2 linked regions of the Cricetulus griseus genome follow. The protein of the gene in region 2 interacts with the protein of the main gene of each other region in a pairwise test. Links are inferred from orthologs where the notes say so. Each region holds a gene or a part of one and is shown on either strand. Other genes may lie near its edges.

Region 1 (7,938 bases), on a different chromosome or scaffold from region 2:
GAGGAAAAGGTACAGGTACTCCAGACACTCGGAACAGCACGTGCTCGCCTAAATCAGGGACGGGTGCGCGGGAGGCAAGAGGGAGAGACGCGTTTGAAGCGGCGAGTAGTTGGCGTGACTATGCTTATCGACGAGTACCAGGTTAAGGACTTCGGACTTCGTTCTGGGACACCAGTAGATACTCGTGAACAGAAACGTAGCTAGATCCCAAGCGGGCTTAAGGTTCCTGCGGCGGCGACGGAGGAAACCAGGCGGTCCTGTCCCGGCCTGCGGGGCCACCCTTCCGCCTGCAGGGAGCGCTGTCGGGGCCGGGCGTCCTCCCCGCCCCCTCCCTTGTTGCTGCAGGCCTGATGCGCTCGGAACTCGGCTTCTCTGCCTGGACTCTGCTGCCTTGGGAGGCGACTCGTGAGTCGAGCCGCACCCCCGTGCGTGCGTCACCTCCGCTCTGGCGGACAGGCCACTGGCACCGCCGAGTGGCGCCGAGGGAGCCTCTGCGCTTGCGCCGAGCAGAGCTCGGCGGACCTCTGCGCGAGAACGCACGCGTGTGAGCCTGGCGTAGCCGTCTGCCGCTAGGCGTTTACTTTTGTCCTAAGAGGTGCAGGCAGACAGTTGACAGAGGCTTGCTTCAGTCGCGCTGGCTTCGCCTCCGGCGACTCCTCTGGGAAGCAGTCTCCCTGGAGCCGTTTGTCCTCTGTCTGCAGCCACAACTTCACAGAGGTGGAAACCTGCTCGCCTCTGCACGTAAATCCTAGTCGAAGGGAGTCTTGGAGTTCAATTACCAGTCCTTTCATGATCTCTTGACATCTTGAAATGAGTGAATGTGGTTCTGCTTACACAATCTCAAAGATCACCTCTCCTGGAGCTCACGGTGTAGACCAGGCTGTCCTCAAACCCACACTGACTCACCTACCTCTGCTTGCCTCGTGCCGAGTGCACAGGCAACTCCTTGTATTCCTACTTCGGGTTTCTTCTGTGCGACTTTGATGTCTTTAAAACAATGCTTCCTGCTGTGCACATACTAAATCGTGAGATATAATAATGAGCTCCATACAGAAAAGCGTTATCTTTTGACATTTACATTCTAGTGAGGGGAGATCAGGAAGAGCGGACGACAGAGTGAGGGCTAGGAAAGAGTGACATAGACACATGGTAGACTCTAATTACACTCATCACAAAAGGTTAAAAGTAGTCACGTGAACAGCTAGGTGCTCCAGATTGGGAAAAGCCATGCAAGCGGGAGCTTTGTTTTCTGGGAATTGACAAGGACAGTGTGACTAGAGTCTGATGAACTGTGATTGACAGTTGTGAGAAAATGTTAAGAATGTTCTAAGTAGGAGTCAGGTGCATAGCTTTGTGCAGAACTTTGAAGTATGTGTTCTTTAGTTTTCCAGATAGCCTTTCCTGTAGCGCTTGGTAGCCTGGAGCTCACGGTTTACCTGAGACTGTCCTTGTACCTCTGCCTCCCTCCCAAATGCTGGGATCGGAGGCTTGTGCCACGGCTCTCGCCTTGAATTGTATTTTAATAGTAACGAGAAGCCAAGATACAGTTTTCTATAGAGAGCCAATTTGGTTCAGTCACTTTGGACCACACAAACCAGTCGCTGAAAATAACGTGTTTGTTGGTCTCTGAAACTCCTTTTCCCTCCTTCCCAAGCTGCAGTTCCACTGCCTCTCTCTTTAAAAATTTATTTTGTATGTGGTGCACCTGCCACTGAGCATGTATGAAGGTCAAAAGACAACTTTTAGCAGTTAGTTTTTCTCTTTCTACTGTATGGGTCCCTGAGACAGAACTCTCAGGTCTCAGGCTTGGTGGTAATGCCCTTTATTGGCTAGGTCATTTTACCAGCAGATCTGCTCTACTGTAACTCAGATGGTTTACAGATGGACTCCAAAATGTCATCTTGAACACGTTCAAAGTATGGGGGGTGAAAAATATATTCTGTGTGTATATTATAAAGGGGAAGATGTGACGACTTCATCCAGATTCTAGGAGATCGTCTAAAGATTAAGAACACTGGTTTCAAACATGTTTCATCTGTGAGATCTTGTTTATTGTACTCCAAAACAGCAGGACATAATGTCAGTTTGAGCCCAGGCTGGTTCTTCGAACTGTCTTCTCAACTATGAAATTAAAACTCTGAGAACTAAAACACTTTACTCGGAAAGCGTTCAATGATAAAGCATAACGTGCCACAGTGTTGCACAATGCCACTGTCACAAACATCTGCATCCCTGGGATGGAAGGACAATTTGTAGATACTGCTTCTACAGCGTTCCGGGATCTTCATGTCTCTATTCTGGGTCGTGTGCCAGAAGAAAAAATAAACCATTCCTTTCAGAAGCTAATTATCCAACTGAAGCCGTGAAAGATACAAAGCAGGGTGGACTAAGCCCGTAAATGTGGCCTGTGGGTTTGAGTAGACGCGATCAATGACTACTACACATACACGTTTTCATGTTATGGAAAGGACGAGGGAAACAGGACGACCTCTCCTCCCACCGGACAAATACTGAGCAGAGGTTTTTGTGAGACGGAACCTATCTTTTGTGCTATCTGTTTGGTATACAGTGCATGCTCAGGGCACTCCTTATCTTCATGCTGGGAACAAAGTACACACACCCCTTTCTGAGACCCAGGGTCTTAGGACCTCCTGGAGCGGCATGGGCTCCGGGCCTACGGGGCCACACAAAGGGGGCGTTTTGCCTGCTCACCCCCCCCCCGCCCCACACACACCCAGGCCCTTCGGTCCCGGGTTCGCCTTCAGGGTCCCTCGGCCCCGCCCCTGCAGTGCCCTCCCAGCCTCTTGCGCGCGCCCCTCCTCATCCGCGGGCAGCCGGAAAACCCGGAGCGAACCGGCCTGGGCCGGCGGCGCATGCTCAGTCGCGGGCAGGTTCAGTTTGCTACTAGGAAGCTCCAGCGCTACACGCGGCGGCGGCGGCGGCGGCGGGCGGCGGCGGCGGCGGCCCCAGCAGCGAACTCCGGCCCTTCCCCGCCTCCGCCCGACCCCGGTCCCCGGGCTCCGCCCCGCTCCGAGCTTCGCGCTCGACTTCCCCGCAGGCCAGCGGGAGCCACCGGTTAGAGCGTCCCTCCACGCGCCGTCTCTCGGCGGCCCAGGCCGTGCCGGGGAGCGCAGTCCGGTTGCGGGCGTCGGAGGGCGGCCCGGGGCGGAGCGGGGGGCCTGCCCCGGGGCGGTGGTGCGGGATGCAGCCGCCGCCACCGTCGGGCTGCGTTGGTTCTCGGCGACCGGCGCGCGTGTCGGGTGGGTGGGCGGGCCTCGCCCCCAGCCGCCTCGCCAGCGCTAGCCCGGCCGCGCGGCGCCCGAAGGGGCCGGGCTGTGCGCGGGCTGCGGCCCTGCTCCGCTCCGCTCCGCGCCGCGCCGCGAGCCGCCGCCCCTCCGCCCGCCCCGAGGCGTCCCGCGGGCACCATGCAGGCGCAGCAGCTGCCCTACGAGTTTTTCAGCGAGGAGAACGCGCCCAAGTGGCGGGGGCTGCTGGTGCCGGCGCTGAAAAAGGTAGGAGCGCCGAGCCCGCTCCCGGCCGCAGCCCGCGCCGGGCTGGCCGAGAGCGGGGAGGCGGGGCGCGCACCGCCGTCTTTCTCCCTGGTCGGCAGGGTCCCCGGGAGGACCGTGCAGGCGGCGATCTTCCCCGCGCCCGGCTGCTCCAGCTGTTGACACCCGCCCGGCGTGCGTGGGAAGGCCACACACAGTTGGGGAGGGTTGGCCCCGATAATCCAAGCGCTGAGGCGACGGTTAGAGGAGCCTCGGTTTACCGTGGAGGTCAAAGAAGGCCACTGCCTACCGTCTCGGTCTTAGCGAGCTGCGGTCAGCCTCCCGTTTTGGGAGTCCAGTGCGCTCTTACTGGCTGGAGAGTGCCCTGGCCACAGTGCTTGCCTAAGTAATTGCGAGGTAGCCTGCCAGCAAGAACATGGCCTGCTTGGCTTTGCTCGCCTTCAGTCACTAACTCCCGGTCCTTTTGACACTCCCCCAGCCCCATTACAGGGGTGATGCACATGCCACTGTGTTCAGATGGGTTCTTCTGGGGAGTCTGAGAATCTTTGAACCCTTGTTTGGTTTGGCGCTTTGTATTTTTAGTCTTTGTGTGTTACTTTGATTTTACCAGAGGTTAAAGTAAATTTTTTTTGAAAATGTTGCTACATTTTAAAAGCTCCTAAAGCAACACTGTAAACAGTCTGTTCTTTGGTTTGGCATTTCGAATTTTTAGCCTTTGTTTTTTAGATTGCTAGTGACTAAATCTTAAAAGCTTCCAAAGCAACATTGTTACTTAGTAGATTCTGTAGTAAGACATCTGAAACAGAGGTGGTTGAGTGGATTTTAAAACAACCGGATTGTTTTTGCTCACATTTGCCTTACCTGTAAAAACTGCTTTACTCTTTCAGTAGTTTTAATCTAAATTTCTTGTTGCTCAAATAGTTTTCAAGCTATCTTTGCTAAAATACAGCTTTGTTTCAATTGAGAATTGAGAGTGTTTACTGTACCATTGTGTGGAGGCTTTTATTATACCAGAGAGTTTTGAAAGGTGTTTCATAGTCCTCAAAGGCTAGCAACTTTTAGTTTCTCCTTTGCCCTGTTCATCCCTTCCCCTGTTGGTATCTTACGGTGGAAATTGCCAGAAGACTTTGTTTTTATTTTTCATATTTAGGTTACTGGTTTCTATCCTCAAGTGTCTCACTGCTTACAAACCTCTGTGGTGTTTTTCTATGGAAATCAAAGAGGCCACCTTGTCGTGCATACTTTGTTCATTAATGATCCCATGAGGCCTCACTCCGTCTTTTTTTACATTGGTTTACCTGCACACTTGACTGCTTAGCTTGTAGAAGTGGAGAAGTGTGCCTCAAGATGCTTGAAGCTTGGTATCTTGACAAGATGAGAGAGAAGAGTTGATTTATATGTATAAAAGCCCTCACAGGACATTACCAGTTTGGGGTATTTGGTTTAAAAGCAAGGAGCTCAAAAATAACACTTGAGAACCCTTTGAAGTGGTGGAAAGTGCATTGTAGAAGTTGGCAGACCTCTCTAACCTGCCACATGGGTGGCCCTTGGTGAAATCTATTCACAGACACATTTGTTTGGCTGTCATTGTGGTGTTTTGTTTTTTAATTTATGTAATTAGTTGCCACTATCCTAAATGAAAAGTATCACATAGGCTGAATTCCTATTTTGTTCTTGAGTTATAGACAGTCTTGCCATTTTCACACAACAGTAAATTACTAGAGTTGTAAGTGGCTGCCTTCTTGAGAAAGTGTTGTGTTTCCAGTTTAACACAGTGTTACTCAGGTTGGTTGGTTTTCCATTTCAAGCAGAGGTATCCCTGCAGAAGTGATGTGTTTATAGAATCTTCCTAACATGTAAGGTTCTTCTCATTTAAATTCTCACCTACAATGCTCTTCAGACACCTAAGACAGCTTGGACATATTTTTCATAATCTGAATATGCTCTTGTATCTTAAAATTACTGAATTATCATCTATGTGCTGGGCATTTCATGTAGATGTGTCCATGGACATTTTGTGTGGGTGTGTCCTTATCTTGAACTCTTTCTTCAGACTTTAAACTACTTGTATAATGCCTAACTATGCCTTTTCTTACCGGAGGCTTTTTGGACAGACTGTTCCTTTTATCTGGTCTAATACTACTCAATCTCAGAGATTTTTCCCAAACCCTCAGGGCTGAGTTGGATAGTGCTCCATTGTTTCATGCTAGCATCTTATCCTAACGCAGCAGTGCCTTTTAAGTTCCAGTTTACCTATCCATGCTTTCCATTCCCAACCAGAGAATAGGAATGTTATCCTACTGTGCCTGACACCTGTTAGGATTCATTTTGAACAAGTGCTTTTGTGTGTTACTTTGAGTTTGCCAAAGGTTAAAGTAAATTATTTGGAAATGTTGCTACATTTTAAAAGCTCCTAAAGCAACATTGTGACTTAGTAAATCTTCAAACTGTCTTCCCGCTTTTGGTTTGGCAGTTTGAACTTTTAGCCTTTGTATGTTACTTTTAGTTTGCCAGTGGTTAAAGTTATTTGAAAATGTTGCCAAGTGCGTAAGGGGATACTCAAAATAAAACTACCCCTCTTCCGCCCCCACCAGTTTTTAACTTCTTGGTTAATGGCTTTAGAATTTTATTTGGTTGGCTCAAAACTCTGAAGTCATCCCTGCCTCTTCTCTGTGTACTGCTGCCCACCTTCAGACAAAACCTTATGTTTATCAACATCTAACATGCTTTTGTAATCTGCTCTCCTAACCGCTTGGAGTTTCCTCTCCCGGATGACTGTGATAGGCTCTCAACTGAGTCCCTTGCCCCAGTCCACTTGCTTTTACATATTTCAGACGTTATAATATACCTTTGAAAGTGTTAAACATTTGTTTAGAATTGTTGATGTCCTTCAAGTTAAAATATTTTTAGCATGGAATTTATAAGATGGCTCTACCCTGACCTTCCTATTTGATTCCCTATCAAAATCTTTCTAGATAGGACTGCTACTTTTCCTGAATCTATTTATTAGGCCCCATGGTATCTGTCACGTCCCACAAATACATGATGCTTGTCTCAGAACAAGTGTTTGCCCTTGGCACTATGGATAAATGGCATAGCTTTAAAAGGTGGCAGCGGGTATATCTAGATAAAAAAAACTCGTGCCTCATCCTGTAGCCCAGACTAGTATTGCATGTGCAGCCTGGCTGTCCTGGCTCAGCCACCCTAGTGCTGGGGTTGTAAGTATGGCCTAGCACATCTGGCCAACGAGGAAGTAACACTTGATTTGAATTTTGGTCAAGGAAAGGAAAGAATGGGACCTAAGGTAAGGGAGAGAAGCTGCAGCCTGGTTTACTAAGTTCATCTAAGAAGAGAAAGTACCCATTTGTTTTAGGATGGATGCTATGTGAATGGTATTGAAAAGGCAGAACTGTCAGGCCTTAGCCCCTCACTAATGACTGCAGAAGTGTTAAGGAAGTGGGAAGAATCTTTTCAATTTTGCTTGCAGTCATGTTGATTTTAAAGGCTTTTTGGATTGTCTAGGCATATTTCTCCAGTTGGCAGCTCAGTTTTGATACCTTATGCAGCAGATTTGGAAGTCTGAGACAGAAACCAAATGAGGTCTTTGTCTATAGAAAAACTTAATATGGGTCAGGTTTGGTAGTACGAGCCCATCATCCCAGCTACTCAGGAGATCAGTGCAGGAAATTAAATATTCAAGGCCAGCCAGGACAACTTTTGCAAGAATTTGTCTCAAAACAAAAAGTAACAAAAGAACTGGAGATGAAGCACAGTGGTATAGTAGCAGACCGCAAACCTAGTGTGTCTGAGACCCTGCATTCAATCTACATTACTGACAAACATACATAGGAATATTTTTGGTAGGTTTGTTCCACTCCAAACAACAATCTAAATATCTATTTGTCTATCAGTAATCAACAAGGAAATGAATGAACAAATTGAATATAGCCATATAATGGAATAAAAGGGAATGAGGGTTACTGATATACATGTCAATATGGCCAGCCCATTTAATAACTGATAAAGCCAAACTAAAGCAACATGCTCTATATAGCTGTCTCATACTCCTGTTGTCACAGCATGAAGGCAGAGGATCAGGAGTTAAGGTCATTCTTAGCTATATAGGGAGTTTGAGACAATAACAAAATGGAAGAGACTTTTATGTTTCCTTATCTTGATTGTGCTCATGGTATCATATATGCTAGGTACTGTCAGATTATACAAGTTAGATATATACATTTTATTGTTGTCTTGTTGTTTCTCAACAAATACTGAATACCAATATAGTTATCATCTTAGGTCCTATTACTGTTTCACCATGGTTGCTTTATCACATGTCTGTCCACTCTTTAACTCCCATCAATCTATTGTTTTGCTTTGAGACAGTCTCTGACAATGCAGCCTGGAACTCACTATGAAGCCCAGGCTG
Region 2 (7,379 bases):
TAGCGAATCCCAACATTGCAGAGAAAGTAAGAAGGCCATGATGGCAACAGTGGCCCTGCTTTAACTTGGAAATGTGAGGAGCACTGTGAAACAGGAGCCAGGTCAAAGGTTGTGCATTCCCAGGCTGATGGGGATGGGGAATTGAGGTCAGAGGCCAGATTATGAAGCCCCAGTGCCCAAGTAAGGGATATAGTACTATGATTCCCAACACAAGAAAATTCTATCTTCTATTCCCTGCTGTAAATGTGTGACTCCCACTTAAAAGGCAAATGGAAGAAACAACATTCAGGGTGATAGGTGACCCAGAAATCCCCCGTGGTAGATCCTAAACATTAAACTACACAACTTTACCTCACAAATGTTGATAGGAAGGAGAAATAAACAAAGTCTCGGCTACAGGGAACAGAGCAGTTGAAAGGGACTTCTGAGAACATTAATAGGCAACACTAACTGGGCACTTATCCCACAACACATTTCAGTATGCAGCATATACATTAAAATCTGATACTCCTTTGAAAAAGTGCCCAGGTGTACCACAAATTAAATCAGACTGACAAACCATATCACAGGATGTTAGCCCCTATCCCACCCCTACCCCCACCCCAGTGAAGCTGAGTGTCACCTGTGGGCTGCCTGCCTGTCTCTCCTTGGTGCACACCTGTGTAACACCATGCATGAGTAGAATTCGAATCCAGACCTTGGGATTGATCTTAAATGACCAGGATTACCATCTTACCTGAAAAAGAGAGCAGATGCCCACTGCACTCTATGGGCTTTCTTAAAGCGATGGCATTTCCCAGAGTAAGACAACAGCAGGCTTTCTCATCTGAAGTCACAAAGTTTTCTTAGTTTTTATTACCCTCAAGGTATTAAAACAAGTACAAAATAACCTTGTAATTAGGATACTGTATCCATCAATAAAAAAGGAGAAACCACTGTTGTATGAAGCTATACATACATGGCTAAAATATACAAGCTGTGACAGAATTAAGAGACAATTAAGAAATGGAGGAGGGGGTGCTTTTTTCTTCAGAAAAGCCAAATCAATAAAACAGGACAGATAAAATACAGTGCCCTAAATATGCATAACCATAAACACTAAGTCTAAACACACTATTATCATGGCATCCATTGCTTCTATTTACCAGCCTTTGCCAGTACATGCCCACTCCCTTTCCTAGCTTTAAGGACCGTTTCCTCTAAGGAATACTAGGTGCAGCATAAACCTTAAATAATTGCAATTATTGTAGAAGTTACAGCCTACAGAGAAATTAACTTCTTGTCAGTCTAGATAGAACAGTGGCAACCATTCTTCACATGCACTTGTCTTAGAATATACCCCCCCTTGGCTGGCAGGCTAAAGTCAGGCTATAGAGCCTCCCACAGCCACAAATCCCCTCTATGCTATGTCCCTGCAACCTCATTACCCATCCCCACATTGGCATTCATTCACCTTTCCCACCCCCCAAAAGTGCAGTTCATGGTGGCTTTCCTAGGAAATGGTTTTAATTGGTGTCCCAGAAGACATGCTTTTTTTTTTTTTTTTTTTTTTTTTTTTTAAATCCCCCTCTGAGCACCAGAGGTGATGAAGATGAATTGTGTTCTTGGCATTGTTTTTAAGCTTTCACTAGGTCAAAACAATGTGTTCTGAACACTTGAGTTTTTGTGTGAGTTTGAAAATTATTTTGGTGCCCTGTGATATAATGGAGAAAACATCTCAGTTTCCCCAAACAGAGGGGGCAGAGGGGATAGAGATGTAGGCTGGTGACCCCAGTCTGGCTAAGTGTCCAGTTCTCCTCCTGGCTCAGGTTCTTTCACAGAAACTAGTTATTGCTTCCACACTGCCGCTACAGGGAATGTTCTGCAAAGGCTGTGACCCTGGTCACAGTTTATCTGCAATGGCTCTGCTCTGAAAAACACACCAGCCCAAGAGCTCTTATCAGAGGGAAATTCTTCAGCCCTCAAGATCACTGAAACTTGGTTAGTGCAGTTTAGAGTAAATGCATACTATTTGGCTTATGTTAAATGATTATTGGCACGATGTTTCTTGAGTTTCATGTATAAATGTGATTTGCACATGGGTCATAGCCATCCATAGCCATCCATTGCACATGGATCAGCCAATCTGCACCATTTTTATGTCAGCAATAATCCCATCTCTTCCTTTTGAGCATTGTAGAGAGAGTTGCTTCATACGGGTTTCCAAGGTCTGGCCCTCAAGGGATGTGCTGCTTTGGCTCCTGCCCCTGCTACCACCACTGTTGCTGTTGCCGAAAATGCGGTTGTTGTTGGCTTTGTCACTCGTTTTATTCTCAGCCCCTTCTGCTCTGTCTCCTGTAGAGATACAAAGGTTGCCAAATGGGAGTTGACAGTTCCAAGAGTACCATAGGCACTGGCATCAGCCGCCTGAGCCCTCTGCAGTTCCCACGCCACCCACCATGCATCTCAGGGGTTCTCCAGCACTGGGTGATACACTGCATTTATTCCTTAGTGTGTATCTTTAGAGATACACTCATCCTCATTTTGTAGCTAGGAATCAAACCAGTGAAGGGGACTGTTCTAAGGAGAGACAAAGGACCTAAGTTCTATGTTATTGAAGCTGGTCAGGCAGAGCCCAAGCAAAGGCACAAACAATCCACAAGTTGGGTTGCAACTTACCTCGTTCCACCTCACATTCAGGGGAGGAGGCCCCACTGCATTCACTTCGAGGGCCCAGTATTGGAAACATCATTCCAAATTCAGACAGGGACACAGGGCTGGGCAGATCCAAGCTGCCGGGTCTTGCCACTGCAGGGAACTGGTCAGGAATTTCAGATGGACTTGTTGGTCCTGAACTAAAGCTGGATACAGACTGGGTTTCTGAGTCATCTTCAGACACTAAGTTGCTACAGTTGTCGTCTTCAAAGGCTTCGGAAGCCACTATGGTGAGAGAGAACATCAGTCACATGGAGTCTGCTAAGTAGTACCCCAGTTCCTAAAGGCTTGCTCTCTGCGGGCAGGCAGTCCCACAGCATGGAGTCGGCAGGACCTACAACCTTCCTGAGCCTTCTTCTGACCAGCCTCCAGAGCATTTGAAAGGAAGCAGCAGCTAGCTCCTGTGCAAAGTTTGTGTTCTAGAGGAATTTAACTCCTGCTCTAATTCTGTGCCAGCAAGTGCTACCTAGATAAAGGACAGCTAGGGATGGCTAGGGCAGAGTGCGTGTCTAGTATATACAAAGGCCTGGTTTCCATCCCCAGCACTGAAGGAAAGGGAAGACAGATAAATTTAGACACTAGCCCTTTGAAATGTGTCCTACACAGAGGCAATCTTACAGTGAAGACTGAAGGTCTTCCTTCTGGCGTAAGCAGCAAGAGCTGTTGGAATGTCTGTAGTATCTTCTGATCTCACGAGATGCCCTTAACTGTTTGCAACAAAGAACATTCATTTTCAATGCTCTGACTGTGCCTGAATCTGTGGACCAGAATAACCAAGGCACAGAGACATACCATCTTGTTTTCAGAGCCTCTCAGACTGCATTCTCGCTTCTAAAATCCTTCCTAGTTCCCTTTACACCTATGGCATCTTTAAAAATGGCCTCTAGCATTCCTGAGAGGATTGTTCTAAGTACTATACTGCTTCAGACAGACTGAATGAATTCAGATCCTAACTCCACTGTTGACTGTGTGGCCTTGTCAAGCAACTTGACTGCTCAAATGCTCTATGGACAGGATTAATGAAGTGATGTATAAAGTAACTCACTCATAGCCACTGATTACATTATAGTTTCATTTCCCTTCAACCTGGCAACTCAGCATTTGTTGATGGCTTTCAAGAATTGCTGAGGATGGGGCTTGAAATGGCTCAGTGGTTAAGAGCACCTGCTGCTCCTCCAGAGGACCCAGGTTTGATTCCCAACATACGCATAGAAGCTCACAAATGCCTGCAATTCCAGAGCATCTGACATCTTCTAACACAAGGCAAGCATGTGGTATACATAGATACACATGTAGGAAAAACACTCATACACAAATTATTTTTAAAGATAATACTAATAAGGAAAAACAAAAAAGAATGTCTGAAGACAGGGCCTAAAAGAGCCACAATGGATTATTCCACAAGAAAAGAAAAGAAAAGTTGTGAAGTGTTGAGTGTCACAGTGTAGTTTTCTTGATAAACAGAAATTAGGTCAGTCCTCTATCCTATCTGCACAGGATATGCCTGGACAGAAGAGACCCATGTGGTCAGACCCCAGGGAGACCTGCCAGCTGTCACTTCTCACAACCCTCCTTACCATAGGAGACACTGTCCCCGTCACAAAGCTGAAGCAGCTAACACATGAAGGCCCACTAGCCCATGTGCAGTGGTAAAGTGGGGTCACAATCAAATCTGGGTCCCAAGTCCCTTTTAAATCTGTCCTCAGAACTTCAAGTCTTGAATGTTGTAATATGTACTTAGACTATTTAAGAGGGGTGGAGGTGGAACACTTTCCAAACTTACTTGACCACAGAATGCTAACATTCAGTAGCAAGCCAATGAACACAGTGTCCCACAAAACATGAGAAACCATCAAACAGCCTGCAGGGTTGCCAAACTCTGCAATTCTTTTTTTTTTTTAAGATTTTAAATATTTATTATGTATACAACATTCTGCTTCCATGTATATCTGCACACCAGAAGAGGGCAGAAGATCTCATAACAGATGGTTGTGAGCCACCATGTGGTTGCTGGGAATTGAACTCAGGACCTCTGGAAGAGCAGTCAGTGATCTTAACCTCTGAGCCATCTCTCCAGCCCCCAACTCTCCAATTCTTAAGTGATGGACAAAGGATAGGGACTGTGGGATAAGATAGCCCTGAAAGCAGATCACACATGCTTGTGTGATCCCTGCTGGAGAGACTCACCAGAAATGGCATCAGGCTCAGGTTTGCTCCCAGGCAGGTTCTCCACTGATGTGATGCTGCCCTCAGCCCCCACGCCACAGCCCCGAGGACCCATGGCATTGGAACGTCGCCGCTCATGTATCTCATCTGAGATCCTCTCCAGGCTCTTCAGGGCTGCCTTATACTCGCCTTTGGCCAGGGCCAGCTTGGCCTGAAGGTCATCCACTGTTTTCTTCAGTTGCTAATTGAAAGATGGAGGGCCTGGTAAGTCAAAGTGGCTCTGCATATCCCCATTGAGAGAGGGGTTTCACATGATTACAGCATAGAACTTCCTAAAACGCCTGACATGATCATGATGGCCTTAAGGAGGATCCAGTTACTTTCATCATGGCTACCCATTCACTATAAAGAAAATCATTACATCTCAACACCAGTCCGTGTGACAGACAAGAACATGCAGAAATGGTTATTAATAGAATGTAGCCCTCAGAGAAGGAACAATAGATACATCAAGTCCTGAAGCCTCCTCACTTGGTCCCAGACAGAAGTTCTTGGCCCCCGTATCTGAATTGTCTGTAGGGCCACTTACAATGCAGACTGCTGACCCAACCCCCAAAGATTCTGACAGTAGGGTGGAGAGCCTGGGAACTGTACTACGAAAAAGTTTCCAGGACTGCTTATCTTGGGAGCTCACACTGAGACCTAGTAAGTTAGTGCAATTCAGCGAGCAAGTGGCAATAGCTCCAGACAACACCCAAGACTATCTGAAAACTAAAGTCTAGGAATACGTTTCTCCATTCTCTCACAGCACATTGTGTCATCTGAAGGCCTGCTATACCACACTAAAGTTGAGTTTTGAGTGTGAGAAGGGGTGGAGAACAAAACGGTGGCAAATCCAAGGTCACACATACCTCGAGCTGCACGTAGTACTTTGCCTTGAGCTCAAAATAAGGCCTGCAAAAGACAGGAAGAAAATGTAAGAATAGGATTGCATGGTGAACTCCTGTAGATACACCCACTTAAGCTAGTCGGGCCATTCAGGATTTAGGCCACGGCAGTTCCAAAGATACCAGCAGAGCTACTGGCTCACCTAAGGCTTCAGTAGATACATAAGTTCAGTAGTCACCTCACTCCCGTCTCAAGATTTTGGAAACCTTGCATCCTGGTTTGTTTTACTCTAGGAAGACTGCTTGGATCTACTGACCAATAAAAAAGATGGGCTGAGGAACAGGTGCTAAAAACATTCCCTCTGCTGAGACCAACTATGGAAGGAAGCAATACCACTCGCTGTCAGCTGGGTATAGCAGGGCTGCCATGTCTTCAACCTCAAGTCAGTCCTCTTGTACAGGTGATCAAGGGTAGGTTAGTCAGTGAAACAATCAGGCAAGGAAAAAGTCAAGTCCCCCAAACTCTGGGTCAGACAGAAGAGCTGGCACTTTGTAGCAGCTTTAGTGTCTGAGCTGTTTCTCCTCTGTCAAATTTTCCTTAGTCCTGCATCTGTAATTGCTGATGACAACACATTGCAGGACCTCTTTGGTGCATAAGGAAAATCTGAGATGTGGGCATAAGCTCCTTTTAGTGGCCAAACAGAGTGGATATCAGCCCAGCCAAGGTGTAGAGAAAAGTATGGTGGGTGTATGAGATGTCCAAGTAAAAGAAATGTGAACATGAATGTCAAAGATGGAGAACAAGGGAAGGGAGTGTGACCAAGGCAACAGGAAGGAGGAGTGGACCTACCAGAGCCCCAGAAGCCATTCTATGGAAGGCACAGACTGGCATCTAGTTTCACAGGCAGGCAAGAGTCATCCAAAGTTATCTTGACAGGTTGGCAGAGTGTGGCCACAGGGAGTTTGTTTCCTCAATGATGAGTGGGCAGGTCAAGTGAGAGAGAAGTGTACAGAGGGCACCAGGGTCTTCAAACTCCATGTATTCACACCAAACAAAGCAAGCAGCATGAAAGGCTTCTCCCTCAGCCATGGGGGAGGGGAGGGATTTCCAGGAGCCCTCACCACCTCTCCCAGCTGTGTCTCCCCAGAAGGTCACATATATCTACTGAATGGCAGTAACAAACATGAACATTGTCTATAGATGCATGTGAACATGAGGGAGCAGGCAGAAATCAGAGGACAAGTCCAGGAGAAGATACGGGGCAGTACAGAGAAGAGGACCAACCTCATCCTTTAGTAACTTCTTACTTACCTGGCATGTTCTCTCACCTGAACACAGGCTCTCTGTCAAGCTTCTAGCTGCCCAGTCCCAGGAGGAGCAGACAATAGCACCTACTTTCTGTCCCAGTTCTGACTCACTGTTGGGTCCTCTCTCTTGGAGGCCCAGTGAATGAAGCAGGGACCCTGTCTCTCCAGTCATGTTTTCCCACTATAATTGTTACTTTGTCAACATACAGAGGGATACTAGGGAGAAGAGCTTAGGGAAAGCGCCACTGATCAATCTTGTAGCATTTCATCAGCTCTTGATCCACAGAGACCATGAATGACAAGCAGAACTCACTCCTACTATGC

What was found.
Region 1: the proteins of Sh3bp5 (region 2) and Sos1 interact in a two-hybrid assay, tested with the Homo sapiens proteins (2 studies listed by BioGRID and IntAct). The link is inferred for Cricetulus griseus from reciprocal best matches to the Homo sapiens genes SH3BP5 and SOS1.

Annotation. Positions count from the first base shown.
Region 1 is NC_048600.1:3,604,449-3,612,386, forward strand, and holds the start of Sos1 (son of sevenless homolog 1), read left to right. Parts: upstream 1-3,331; 5' UTR 3,332-3,425; coding exon 3,426-3,512; intron 3,513-7,938.
Region 2 is NW_023276807.1:188,326,818-188,334,196, reverse strand, and holds the end of Sh3bp5 (SH3 domain-binding protein 5), read right to left. Parts: intron 5,815-7,379; coding exon 5,772-5,814; intron 5,102-5,771; coding exon 4,882-5,101; intron 2,920-4,881; coding exon 2,659-2,919; intron 2,335-2,658; coding exon 2,117-2,334; 3' UTR 828-2,116; downstream 1-827. UniProt on the Homo sapiens protein: Functions as a guanine nucleotide exchange factor (GEF) with specificity for RAB11A and RAB25. Inhibits the auto- and transphosphorylation activity of BTK. Plays a negative regulatory role in BTK-related cytoplasmic signaling in B-cells.